Linked DNA regions of Cricetulus griseus. The protein of the gene in region 2 purifies or fractionates together with the protein of the main gene of each other region. This does not show direct contact. Links are inferred from orthologs where the notes say so. Each region holds a gene or a part of one and is shown on either strand. Other genes may lie near its edges.

Region 1 (6,225 bases), on a different chromosome or scaffold from region 2:
AGCAAGTGCTAAACACCAAAACTTACATCCCCAGCCTTTCCTCCTCCTTAAATGAAATTCAGATGCACATGTATTACACATGTGTCATGTTCTTATTATGTGCCAACAATTCTTTAGGTACTTTGTGTGTCCTGTCATTTAAAGAATAAGATTTCTGGACTGGCCAGGATGAATGGGTAATAGGGATGATCATGTTGGACCTTATTGTCTGATTTGGGACTGTTGAGGTTGGGAATTATCTGAAGGTTGAGGTGAAGAACTGGTAGAATCTAACTAGATACCCTATGGACTGCTGTGTTGAGACTAGAAAGATAGCAAAAAGTTAAATAGTAATAATATTTTTGAGTGTGTTTCCTCATTTAAAGTAAGATTTTAGTAGGCCTGGTAGCCTAATGGATAAGACATTGGCCTCCTAAAATAAGACTTTAGGGGGTGGAAAGTTGTCTTAGTGGTTAACAGCATTTACTGTTCTTACAGAGGACCTAGGTTTGATTTCCATCACCCACCTGGTGGCTCACAACTCTAACTCCAATTTCAGGCAATCTGGTGCCTTCTTTTGACTTCTGTGGCATCCCGCATGCATGTGATGCACATATATACACTCAGATACACACACGTAAAAACATTGAAAATATGACTATATGTACTATGAAAATAAAATAAAGCAATAAAATTATTTTTATAATGTATTATGCAAGAATTACTAATGGTTCATATGTATAATTTTGATATAAATGCATTATCTGTTCTTGATAATTAATTTCTTTTTTAAACAGAATCTACTTGCCCTTACAGGTTCATTGGCACCTGCTTTGCTTTGTTCTGGTACATCTTCTCCTTAGCACATGTGGCCATCTTTGTCACAAGGTTTAGCTATGGAGAAGAACTGCAGTCCTTCGTTGGAGCTGTGATTGTTGGGACGTACAACGTCGTGGTTGTGATTGTGCTTACAAAGCTGCTGGTAGCCATGCTTCACAAAAGCTTTCAGTTGATAGCAGTAAGTGGTCTTTCAAAGCTTTATATTCTCGCCAAATCACATAAAATGTATGAAATCAAATAACTGAAGATTGCAGAATTAAGGAATAGTATTTTTAAATTAAATATAGATTTTAAAATGTAATGTCTAATAATTTGCACATCTTGGACCAATTTTTTAATCTATAAGGTGTGGTGACATTTAGGCAGTTTTAATCAGTATCTCCCCAACCTGCCCATATCATCTACCTTTGTGTTTGTGTTCTTATTCTATGCTGCTTTTTCCTTACCTATAGAATCATGAGGATAAAGAATGGAAGTTTGCTCGAGCAAAGCTGTGGCTTAGCTACTTTGATGACAAATGTACACTGCCCCCGCCTTTCAACATTATTCCTTCACCAAAGACTATCTGCTATATGATCAGTAGTCTCAGTAAGTGGGTTTGCTCTCATACATCAAAAGGCAAGGTCAAACGGCAAAACAGTTTGAAGGTGAGAAATTAAATGGTTTGAATTGCACCACAGTTTTACAGTTGCTAATTTCACTTTTATTTTTCTGAGATGGAGTCTTACTGACTATATAGCTGTGGCTGGCATGGAATTTTCTATGTAGACCAGGCTGGCATCAGTTTGCAGCAATCCTCCTGTCTGGCTACCATGGGCTGGGATGATGGGTGTATGCTACCATAACCAATACAGATGTTTGTTGCAGAATACTTGATCACACTGTGATTGATCACACCCCTAGATTTCATTATTTACTGGAAAAACATGTTTCTAGTTGTGGTATGGCTTAGCCCTGGCACACACCTTTAACACAAGAGCTTTCTGCTTGAATATTTTAAACAGGATTAAATAAAGCCATCCATAGGTCAAAAGGCAGAGCAAGCAACCAGTTGACAGGAAGTCTTGTTTGTGACCCTGTAGGAGAAAGTGGGAAGGCTTCTGGGATGTTACCTGAGAAAAAAAGGTCATCTGGGTGCTTTCAGGTTTTCACCCCAGCATCTGGACCCCAAATCTTTTTGGCAAAATCAAACAATTGAGGTTTTGTTAAAGACCTACAGATGTTTCTTAAAGCACAAATATGCTGCATTGATAAGGGCTATGCTGACATGTTTTCCACTATATCCCTAATGAATGCGGAAGTATCTAATATAAAGATTCAACAAATAATTGAGAATAAGAAAGAAAACTAAGGATTTGGAGGTTGGTTTTGGTTCTTTTCTTAGTTTTTAAATTTCCCTAACACATGAACTCTTATCCCATAGTCTTTCACTATAGATTTAAAGAACGACTATTAGTTCATAGTGTTTTGGGGTCTTGAAAATTACTCAGTGCTGCTTGTAAACTGGGGATTGGTATGTTTCCTAAAACACCAAAGGGTAATATTTTATACTTTGCAAGCCAAATAAAACAAAAAACACCATCTAGGAAGTTATATAAGAGAAAATTTTTCCAAAAACCTTGTAGATGAAATTAAAAATGTAAGTAGCAGTCGTGGTAATAAATTACTAGGAAAAGCAATTCCCTGTGGGAGAGTGAAAATTTTGCTTAATTAGAGTTAAATTAAGATGCCCATATAAATTTGATTACAGATATTCATTTGTAAAGCCATTCTTAGCTCACAATGTCAGAAAGACAGGAAGTTGGCTATTGATTTGGAGTGGTAGTTTGTGAATCTCTGTTGTAGACTGAGCATTACAAAGACTACATTTTTTCAATGTAATTGCCTAAAGTAGAGTGAATGAAACAGATACACAGGCTATATTTTTAAACATGTACTGAATATGATTTTTACCAAAGTAAACTGTCCTCTAAATGCATTGAAAATGTGTACCCATTAATGTATTTAAAATTTATCTCATTTAAATATTGTCTCTGAGGCTGGAGGATAGTTTGATTGCAGACATTTGCCTAGCATGCATGTGGCTCTGAGCTCATTCCTTAGTACTGCAAATATATATCTATATATGAGTGTATATACATGTTTCCTTACATATGTATGCATGTACTTACACATACATTGCTGTCATTATTACCATGTGATTGCTTGTTTCAAAGGAGTGGAGAAACTTGAAACAGAAGAGAGACGAGAACTACCAGAAAGTGATGTGCTGCCTAGTGCATCGTTACTTGACATCTATGAGACAGAAGATGCAGAGTACAGACCAGGCAACCGTGGAGAATCTCAATGAACTGCGCCAAGATCTGTCAAAATTTCGAAATGAAATAAGGGATTTGCTTGGCTTTCGGACTTCTAAATATGCTATGTTTTATCCAAGAAATTAATCATTTTCTAAATCTTGTAGAAATAATTTTCCATAACAAATCTGAAAGATTGTATTTATAGTTAAACTAATAAAATATATATGGACATAAGCAATTACACAAAAGCCATTCTATAAATATTTATAGTATAAATATATGTAATGTAAAATATGTATATAGAGTTAGTTTTTTAAAAACCTGTCTGTGGCTTTTTGTAGAAGCAAAACAGAGTAAGTAAACAGTTTTGTTAGCATGCTATTTGATTTTCGTAGCTTGTCAGTGCTTAAGATTTGTAATGTTTAGGAGGGGCAGCTACCAGTGTACACATTGCCCACTCCCTTTTATAAAATGAAGATCACCAAATGCAGCTACCTTAAGAGACACTTGAAATGTCAAGTTCATGGTGTTTAAAATCTCTTGTTTTAGGAGTTCACACAGAGTTCAGTATTTATTGTTTAAGAGTATAGTTTTATCTAAAATACCCTATTTTTCTTTTGTTATAATCTTAAGCAACAAAGAAAAGTCTCTAATAAATATTTGAATTCAAGCCAGACATGATGGTACAAGTCTTTAGCCCCAGCACTCGGGAGGCAGAGGCAGGTAGATCTCTGAGTTCAAGGCCAGTCTTGTGTACAGAGTGAGTTCCAGCCAGGGCTACACAGAAAACCCTGTCTCAAAAACAACAAAAAATTAATATTTAGTTCTGTTAATCTAAATTCACCTTGATTTTGTTGTGTAATATATTTACTTTTACATGGTTATAATGATTTTATATTTTTAATTTTTTACTTAATATTTTATATATAGTTCTCTATATTGAGGTAATTCATGTATTTAAATATTTATAGAATTCTGTGATTTTTGAAAAATAGTAGACATCTTTTAGCCATAGAATATTTGTTCATATTTATGCATTTGCAAAGTTACTTCTCTAGGCATTTGGTTAGTTTTAACTTTTCCTTCTAATTTTTCAAGTTTGAATAAGTTACAAAGTATAAACTACTTGTCTTCATGTGTGGTCACAGTGGGCTTGGCTGGAGAGCATCAGGGGCCTTGAAAAAAGCTCCTTTAAGTTCATGCAGGTTCTTGAGCTCTCTTCTGAAGTATTAGCCATAGAGTTCAACATAGCTTCTAGAAAAGTGACTTTGTGCCTCCTGCTTGAGATGTAAAGCTTTGTTCTTTCAATTTGAAAATATAAAGTGTATTTGACCTCTTTTCAGTGTTCATATAAGGGCAGCTGAAGGCTTCCCCAGCTATTGTGTAGACATTCTTGCGGCATTCAGTGAGCAATGCACATGGTTACTTTCTTAGCCCAATGTCAGCTGGCCTTGAGGGTGTGAGGGTGCAGGCAGCCCTTGGTCTGTGATTTTTCACCTACCCAGGTGGCATCTGGGTAATCTAGTGTTAGGTTTCATCTTGTTTTTTGCATTTGTTTTTAATGTTCAAGTTTAAGTGTTCCCTCTTTTGGGTAAATTCTTACAAAAATGTTTATTGTAAAGCTATATATTTTGTCTACAATGGAATTATGCACTTCCCAATTGGGATTTTACATCAGGATTTTTAGTCATTCTAAAAAAACCTAATTATTAAAAAAATTTATAGAGTGCCTATTGTGTGCATGAATTACTGATGAAGTATATTTTGAATGACAGCATACTGTAAGAAAAAAGTGAATAAAATTTGACATTAGATTATAAAATGATAGAGCTTTAGTATTTTGCTTACTATTATTTGCTTTTTATTTTTTAATTACTTTATTTTATGCCTGTGAGTATTTTGCCTGTGTATATCTGTTTACCATGCATGTGCTTGGTACTCACAGAAGCCAGAAGAAGGTGTTGGATCCCCTGGAACTGGAGTAACAGACAGTTGCGAGTTACCATGTGACTGCTGGGGACTTGGAAGTCTTGGAAGATGGCTCAGGGCGTACAGTGCTTGCTCTGCAAGCAAGAGGACATGACTTCAGATCCCCAGCACCCACATAAAAGCCAGACATGATAGTGTAAACATGTGACCCCAGCACTTTGGGAATTGAAGAATGTGGACCCCAGGGTTCACTGGACAGCCAGTCTGGCTAAAGTAGTGATCCAGGCTCAGTAAGAGAGCCCATCTCAGAAAATAAGGTAGAGAGTGATAGAGGAAGTTACTGTGCATTGACTTCTGTCTGACCTCCACATATGCATAGTCAAGAAAATGAAACAACACACACAATATATATATATATATATATATATACATATATATATATATATATACATACATACACACACACACACACACACACACACACACACACACACACACCCCTCCAGTTGAACACCTCTGGCCTCCATATGCATATGCAACCATGAACACATACACAAAGAGAAAAATTACACTAAGAAAATACTGGGGATAATAGCTGCTCTGAATTTCTCACTGGTAAGTCAATGTCCCCTTTGTGGCATCACACCCTCCCACAATGTGTCAACATACTGTTTCTAGAGGACATTCTTAGAAGACTTTCATTTGATAATTTCACATTATTTCCTTTATTCTGTTTTTTATCTGCATTTGAAGATGAACACCAGCTACACCACACAAAAATTGGGAAATATTTTATGTTCTCTTTGTATGCTTTAATGTAGCCATTTGCAAGACAGATGGTTTCTGATGCATATTAAACTATAGGAACACAACAAGTAAAACAGCAGGCTTATTTTTTAAAGTGTCCTAGGCAATCAAAATTACAGACAAGCTCCATTCTCTTCATCCTGGAATTAGCAATCAATTCATTCTCTGCTTTTCTCCACCAAGAAGGTTGTTTAAGGGGCCCATGAAATGGCTCAGCAGGCCCCCAGAATCAGACCCCCAGAATCACATCAAAACTGGCTCCAGCCTCAGTGGTCTGTGTCTGTAATTCCAGCATTTTTATGGTAAAATGGGAGAGGTGGGAGACAGGAGACTTCCCCTGGAAGCTCGTTCAGGCTAGATAGCTGCAGTG
Region 2 (6,038 bases):
CATCAACTTAGAGATGATTTATTACCCAACAAAATTCCCTCAGAAGGACTTTTAGTGTGTGGAAACTTCAGTTCCTTCATCTCTAAAGTAGTGGGAATTAGATTATCGATGGACGTCTTATTTAGTTGATAACACATAACCTGCAAGCTGACCTTCAGTGTTGTTTCTAACACGACAATAAGGCAAATAAACTGCACTTGCCGTTCATTTCCAGTAAATGATTTAGAGAAAGTTATTAACTTGCCTTCAAGCCTAAAGTTATCTGTGTGGCTATCAAAGGAAAGAATTGTTTACGTTGCCTACTCACCAAAATCTTGTACCTAAATCGGTGAGTCCTGCACCTTGACTTCTCATGGGATTGGGAGTTGCTGCTCCCAGCCAGCTATAACAACCAGCATAACAGCTGCTTGTCTTTGGTGCCTGCTTCTTGTTGAGGCAGGTTACTTAAACAGTTTGTGGTTTTTCCATTCATTAGGAATTCATCTTGGCATTGACAACGCTTCACTGGTCGTTATGATGCCAAGCATCGTTGTTGCTTACGGGTTTGCCCGTGAGGTGGCTTTCCCTCTTTCCCTCTGCTGAGGATGACTTAGGCATTCACTGGAGGACCTCTCCTGAGGTTTCCCTTCCTGCCTGGAATGCAAGACAAGCTCTCCCCATTCCTGTTGACTTCTTCACAGTCAGAATTACTCATCAGCAATTGAAAACTGAGTAATACTAGGTGGGAACCAGTTACCACATTTCCCCTAGAACAGACCCAGAATTGCCTTGCAGCAGATATCGATCGATGAAAGGAAATGTAGTTAGTAGAGAAAGCGCACTCCAAGAGATCATCTCAAGTGGCCAATGCAGGATACTTGGAATCAAAGAGCATCCTTTTTCTGGTGGTCTATCATGCGCGTTGGCACACAGGTTGATGAAAGACTTTAGAAAAGGTAATTTAGCAGACATAAAACCAAGGAAATTTGCCTTTTGGAAGATCTTTAATCTCATGGTGAATAATAGCTAGCATAAGTGATGTTTATCACACTTGCTGTCCCTAGTTAAAATTGATCCTTTTATTTTTACAACGTATGACTAATCACCCTTATTTGATCAGTATAATACATGCAAGCATTGAAATATCACATCATTAGCATATGGTCATCACATGCTAGTCAAAATAGTTAATTCAAAAACTGGATTGCCTTTTGTCCCCATCAGCAAGGGCCCAATCTGCTGATGTCATTGCTCTTTCCATGTCTTCTTTCCAGCCAGATGATCAGGTGTTTTGGGGTGTCATTCTCTATCCTCAGACACGTGTTTCCTCTTCATCTTCCCCCGATCCCATGTTCCTGCCTCCTGGTAGCCATTTTTTAAATTTATCTTCTGCCCTTTCCAGTGTGCTATGCAAGGGTTTGTGTATGGATGCTTAGGTAAAAAACATCCTTCTCAGTTTATGGCGTGTGAATTTCATACCTGCTGCCTTGTGTTAGTTACTCAATTCTTTAGCAAGAAGCAACTATCGTCTGTTTGATTTTTCTTTACAATAAAATACAGGAGGTTGGCAGATTTTGAAACTGATCTATTAGTTGTTAACTTAAAAAAAAGTCTAGTCATTTTGTCAAAACCCATCTCCTCTCACAGTTAAGCATATCTTTCTGGGCAGGCGTCCTTTAGAACTGAGGATGTAGTTTAGTAGTAGAGTGTTTACCTCCAGGCAGAATGCCCAATGCCCGGATTTGATCTCAAGCCAGCAAGAAAAACCCACTCTGGTAACGAACCTGAACCTCTAACTAAAATTTTCTACAGTTGAAAATGTTCAAAGTACTTATGATTACGGCACAACCTGTTGATAGAAATTTCATTTTCTTTTTTGTAGAGATTGATAATGACTTTACCGGCACCCACACAGATTCCTTCCTTGTGTTTATATGTAAAGTGCTCCTTCGGGTTCCCAGTCAGAGACAGCCCAGTCCTGGGAGATAATGGAATGTGGGCGAAGTTGGGAAGCAGCTTAGGACAGGGCAGAATTCCTCCTGCCGCGCCGGATGCCCATACTGGGCATCTTTGCAGACTCTTATGCTCCCTCCACCCCTGCTGAGATGATGCACTGGGAAAACATTCGCTCTCCCAGGGATGCCTCTCTGTTGGTTTATAGCTGGGAAAACGTTGCCCCGGGTCTAAAATATCTGCCCAAACAGCCTAGCGCTGATGAAGGCTTTCTCACAGGCTCTCAGCTCCCCGCGGGCGCTCCCCGCCCTCTGTTGCCAGAACCTTGGGGATGTGCCTAGACCCGGCGCAGAGCACGTCCCAGCCAACTGAGAGAAGAACAAACCACTGGCGGACAGCCAAGAGGCTCCCTCCCAGCCACCGCCCCCCCGCCCCCGCGCCAGCGCCTTTTCCCCCCTATACAATACAAGATCTTCCTTCCTCAGTTCTCTTAAATCACAGCCCAGGGAAACCTCCTCAGAGCCTGCAGCCAGCCACGCGCCAGCATGTCTGGGGGCAAATACGTAGACTCCGAGGTAGGCTTGGGTGAGGGCGCGCCGGCTCTAAAGTGCCTGCTTTTGCTATCTCCCACTCCAAATGCTCGGGCTGCTTTCCTGGCCCCAGCCCTCTCTCCACCTTCACAGCACTCCCCTCGTGCTGGCACCGCTGAGGAATGGACCTGGGTGGGGAGCTGAAGAAAAGCCAGGGGTGTTTTAAGGCTTCCTTTTGGAGAGGCGACCAATGGAGCCCACCGGGCAAAGGAGGGTCGGGGTGCCGCGTTGGTAGTCGGCCGGACTTAGAAAAGTTTTTCAGATGGCACCGTTAAGACCCCCCCCACCCCGGACAAGCCCCTACTTACTGGGAGGCTGAGAGCTGGTGCAGTGTGTGTGTGTGTGTGTGTGTGTGTGTGTGTGTGTGTGTGTGTGTTGGGGTGGCGTCATTTGGCCACAGTTCTAAGGACAGTCCCCATCAGGAGCCTAAAGTGGCTGGCCTGGGCGGTGGCGCGCGCGTGTTGCACTTTGAGCAAAGTTCTAGAGCACTTCTATAATTTCTGCCCCTGGGCGGCGGCCGGGATGGGGGGTTCCGAGGTGGGGGACCCTCCTTCCTCAACAAGTACCACCACCATTGGCAACTACTTCTTGGCACTCAGATAGCATAAAGGTGGAGACCTCGGTTCCCAAAGGTGACTACCGTTCAGCCTCGGGCAGACAGCCTGGGGGTGATCTAAGTAAGGGTGGGTCAGGGAGTCCTTCAGGTGAGATGTCTTCCAGAACATTTTGAGGGGTCGGGCATATGCCTCGGCTCAGAGATGAAAGTATGATAGCTATCCACGCACCTCATCCACCCCCACGGCCTAGGGAAAGCCGTGAAGCAAAAGGAGCTAAAGGGTAGGGGACGCGGCAGGTGCGGAGGAAGACGCAGGGAGAGACAGAGAAGATGGGACCAGCCCCTGTCTGTATGGTCCAGTGGGATCTTAAAGATAACGGTGGAAGGGATCGGGAACAGGATTAACAGGGTCAGGACGGGTCAGTGGAGCAGGTGAGGCTCTGGGGACGCGGGTGGCCTGGAGGAGAGAAGGGGTACAGAGCAGGAGGAACGCGAACCCCCTGGGCTGGGGAGTCGCTGCCAGGAGCTGCAGGGAGCAGGAGGGCGAGCATGGGGCTTCGCCCTGACCCCTGGCGGCCGGCGAGGGAGGCAGGCGCTCCCTGCCTGGTACCGAGGGGTGTGGTGTCCTTCCCTCCGTCCTCTTAAAAAGCTTGCGGCACTGGAGTTTTCTGTGCGCAAAGCCTTCAGGGTTGAAGTTAGCCGAGACTTGGAGCTCCAGGCTCCCCCGACAACAGGCTGACTTCTGACGCTTGTTTTTCTTTCTGAACTTTTTTCCCACTGCCTTTGCCATCCTCCCCTGGCTTGGCCGGCTGCCTTCACAGGGACATCTCTACACCGTTCCCATCCGGGAACAGGGCAACATCTACAAGCCCAACAACAAGGCCATGGCAGACGAGGTGAATGAGAAGCAAGTGTACGACGCGCACACCAAGGAGATTGACCTGGTCAACCGGGACCCCAAGCATCTCAACGATGACGTGGTCAAGGTAAGCCATGGTGGCTGTCTGGGTCCCACAACCCTTCTCTCTCAAGTAATTGGGCGTCCTTTCATAGCTTTGTCACACTGGCACTGTTTCCTAGGCTTGGCTGTATGTGAACCCCTGGTCCCTTGTCAGAAAGGTCTCATCTGCCTTGCCTCCTCCTACTAGCTAGTTGAACAGAAATTTAGCTAAAGTGAGCCTTGTGGGAGTTCACAGAACCTCAGCCACAGGTGGGCCCCCACATTACTTGGGAAAAGAAGATGACTGTGGTCCATTGCCAGGTTAATAGTCCAGTGACAGGTAAATAATAGTGTGCACCACGGTGAAGGTCAGAATACAGTATAAGCATATTCCTTCAGCTAAAGCAATCTAAAGTGATTAGATTAAAAATAATAAATGAGTGGAAATGCTTAAAACTATCTTATATGTATATATTTTGTATGCAATTGCATATATATAATATACATATATATGAATAGGGTTTTAACTATAAAAACACAGCACATGTACAAGGCTAAGCCAATTTACCAAACTGAAAATAATTTCCACCTCTTAACTTCTGGATCCCTCTAGTTAGATGTGGAAAGATGCATCTGTGGTGACAGCCAAGGTCAGCCTGCCCTGGGCTAGCAGAACATTCAGGTTGGCGTTCCATTTTACACTTTGAGGATATACTTGCTGGGGTTTAAAATACATTACTTTCCTGGGTTGTTGGCCGAATGTAGACTTGACACAGTGGTCTGATTTTCATTATCATTTTGTTATTCAACTTTGACCCTTTTAGCAATTCTAGCTCAAGGAATTTATTGTCTGAGTCCGTGTGGGTTGAGAAATACTGGACTTGAGCTGTCCTTGGCAGAGGATTTCCTCTGAGTGGCCTGGAGGGCCAAGGAAAATCCTGGCCTCGGGGTTCCAGTGGGAAGGAAGCCCCTGTCCTGCCCAGCCGCTAATGCAGGCACCACTGAGGAGCTCATGGAGTTTCCACCCACAGACTCCTATCTATGGATGGGAGGAGCTCCAGTGCAGTTTCACCTTTATGAATAATATATTTTAGAAAGGGAAATGGTTTAATCTACAACTGGAGGGAAAGTGTACCTGTGAAAATTCACTCTCTTGTTTTGCTGGTAGAGAGAAAAGGAAAATTGACTGCTTTCTCCTGGCCAGATTGTGGAATACTTAAAACTAGAGATGAAGGCATCCCATAAACTGGAAGTTAAGCTTGCTAAAATCTGTTTGTTAGCCACACTTCCCTAAAGGGGAAAAGACATTTTGCTTCTCAACCTTCTTGTGCTGCCTGCTTTGGTCAAGGAGGGGGACTCAAAGGATAAAAGCAGATTCCAGGATCTCAGATCAGCTCCCTGTTTGTTGCCCTGTTCTCGGAGCAGGATTCCCTGGAGCAGACCGGCCTCCTGGGATGAGTCAGAGAGGCCAGCAGTGTGGATGTGGGCCTCCACACAGCATGACTAAGTGGAGAAAGCAGGCCCCACTGGGAAAAAGACTTCAACACAGATGGAAAAAAAGGCATGGCAGGCTCGGAGGAAATAGCAGTTTACAAAATACCATTTCAAGGGCAAGTGTGGGGAAACCTCAAACTAGAGAAATTAGAGGAGTTACATTAGTGCCTACCTACTTGCTCACAGAACCAGGAGCAAATCCAGCAGACAAGAAAAACCCACCTTGAGAAAAGAATGTGACAGGATTTAGGCAGAAGCCCCGCCTAGGAGGATGTCTTCAGAAAACACTCCCTCTGCGAAGAGAGACCCAGGCTGCCCCTGCACAGTCTGCTCCTCCCCTCTCCTGCACTAGTACCTAGAAAATTTCCACCATCCTAGAACTCTCTGCTGGACAGTGTCTGGCAAGAGAGTCCCCGGCTCTTCACAAATACCTTCATATCAAGATGAAAAACACAACTAAACAAACCCTCTATGTAGAGAAGAAACGAGGCCCAAATTTAAAGTATGAAGAACAGCACGGTTCATT

Evidence for each region. The genes of interacting proteins can lie anywhere in the genome.
Region 1: the proteins of Cav1 (region 2) and Trpc1 purify together in Homo sapiens (affinity purification with western blotting; 3 studies listed by BioGRID and IntAct, with this or other methods). This does not show direct contact. The link is inferred for Cricetulus griseus from reciprocal best matches to the Homo sapiens genes CAV1 and TRPC1.

The regions. Positions count from the first base shown.
Region 1 is NC_048597.1:204,330,623-204,336,847, reverse strand, and holds the end of Trpc1 (short transient receptor potential channel 1), read left to right. Parts: intron 1-795; coding exon 796-997; intron 998-1,271; coding exon 1,272-1,466; intron 1,467-3,035; coding exon 3,036-3,263; 3' UTR 3,264-4,944; downstream 4,945-6,225. UniProt on the Homo sapiens protein: Forms a receptor-activated non-selective calcium permeant cation channel. Forms a heteromeric ion channel with TRPC4 or TRPC5 that has reduced calcium permeability compared to the homomeric TRPC4 or TRPC5 channel.
Region 2 is NW_023276806.1:209,232,906-209,238,943, reverse strand, and holds the start of Cav1 (caveolin-1), read left to right. Parts: upstream 1-2,368; 5' UTR 2,369-2,477; coding exon 2,478-2,507; intron 2,508-3,023; exon of another isoform or gene 3,024-3,154; intron 3,155-3,899; coding exon 3,900-4,064; intron 4,065-6,038. UniProt on the Homo sapiens protein: May act as a scaffolding protein within caveolar membranes. Forms a stable heterooligomeric complex with CAV2 that targets to lipid rafts and drives caveolae formation. Mediates the recruitment of CAVIN proteins (CAVIN1/2/3/4) to the caveolae.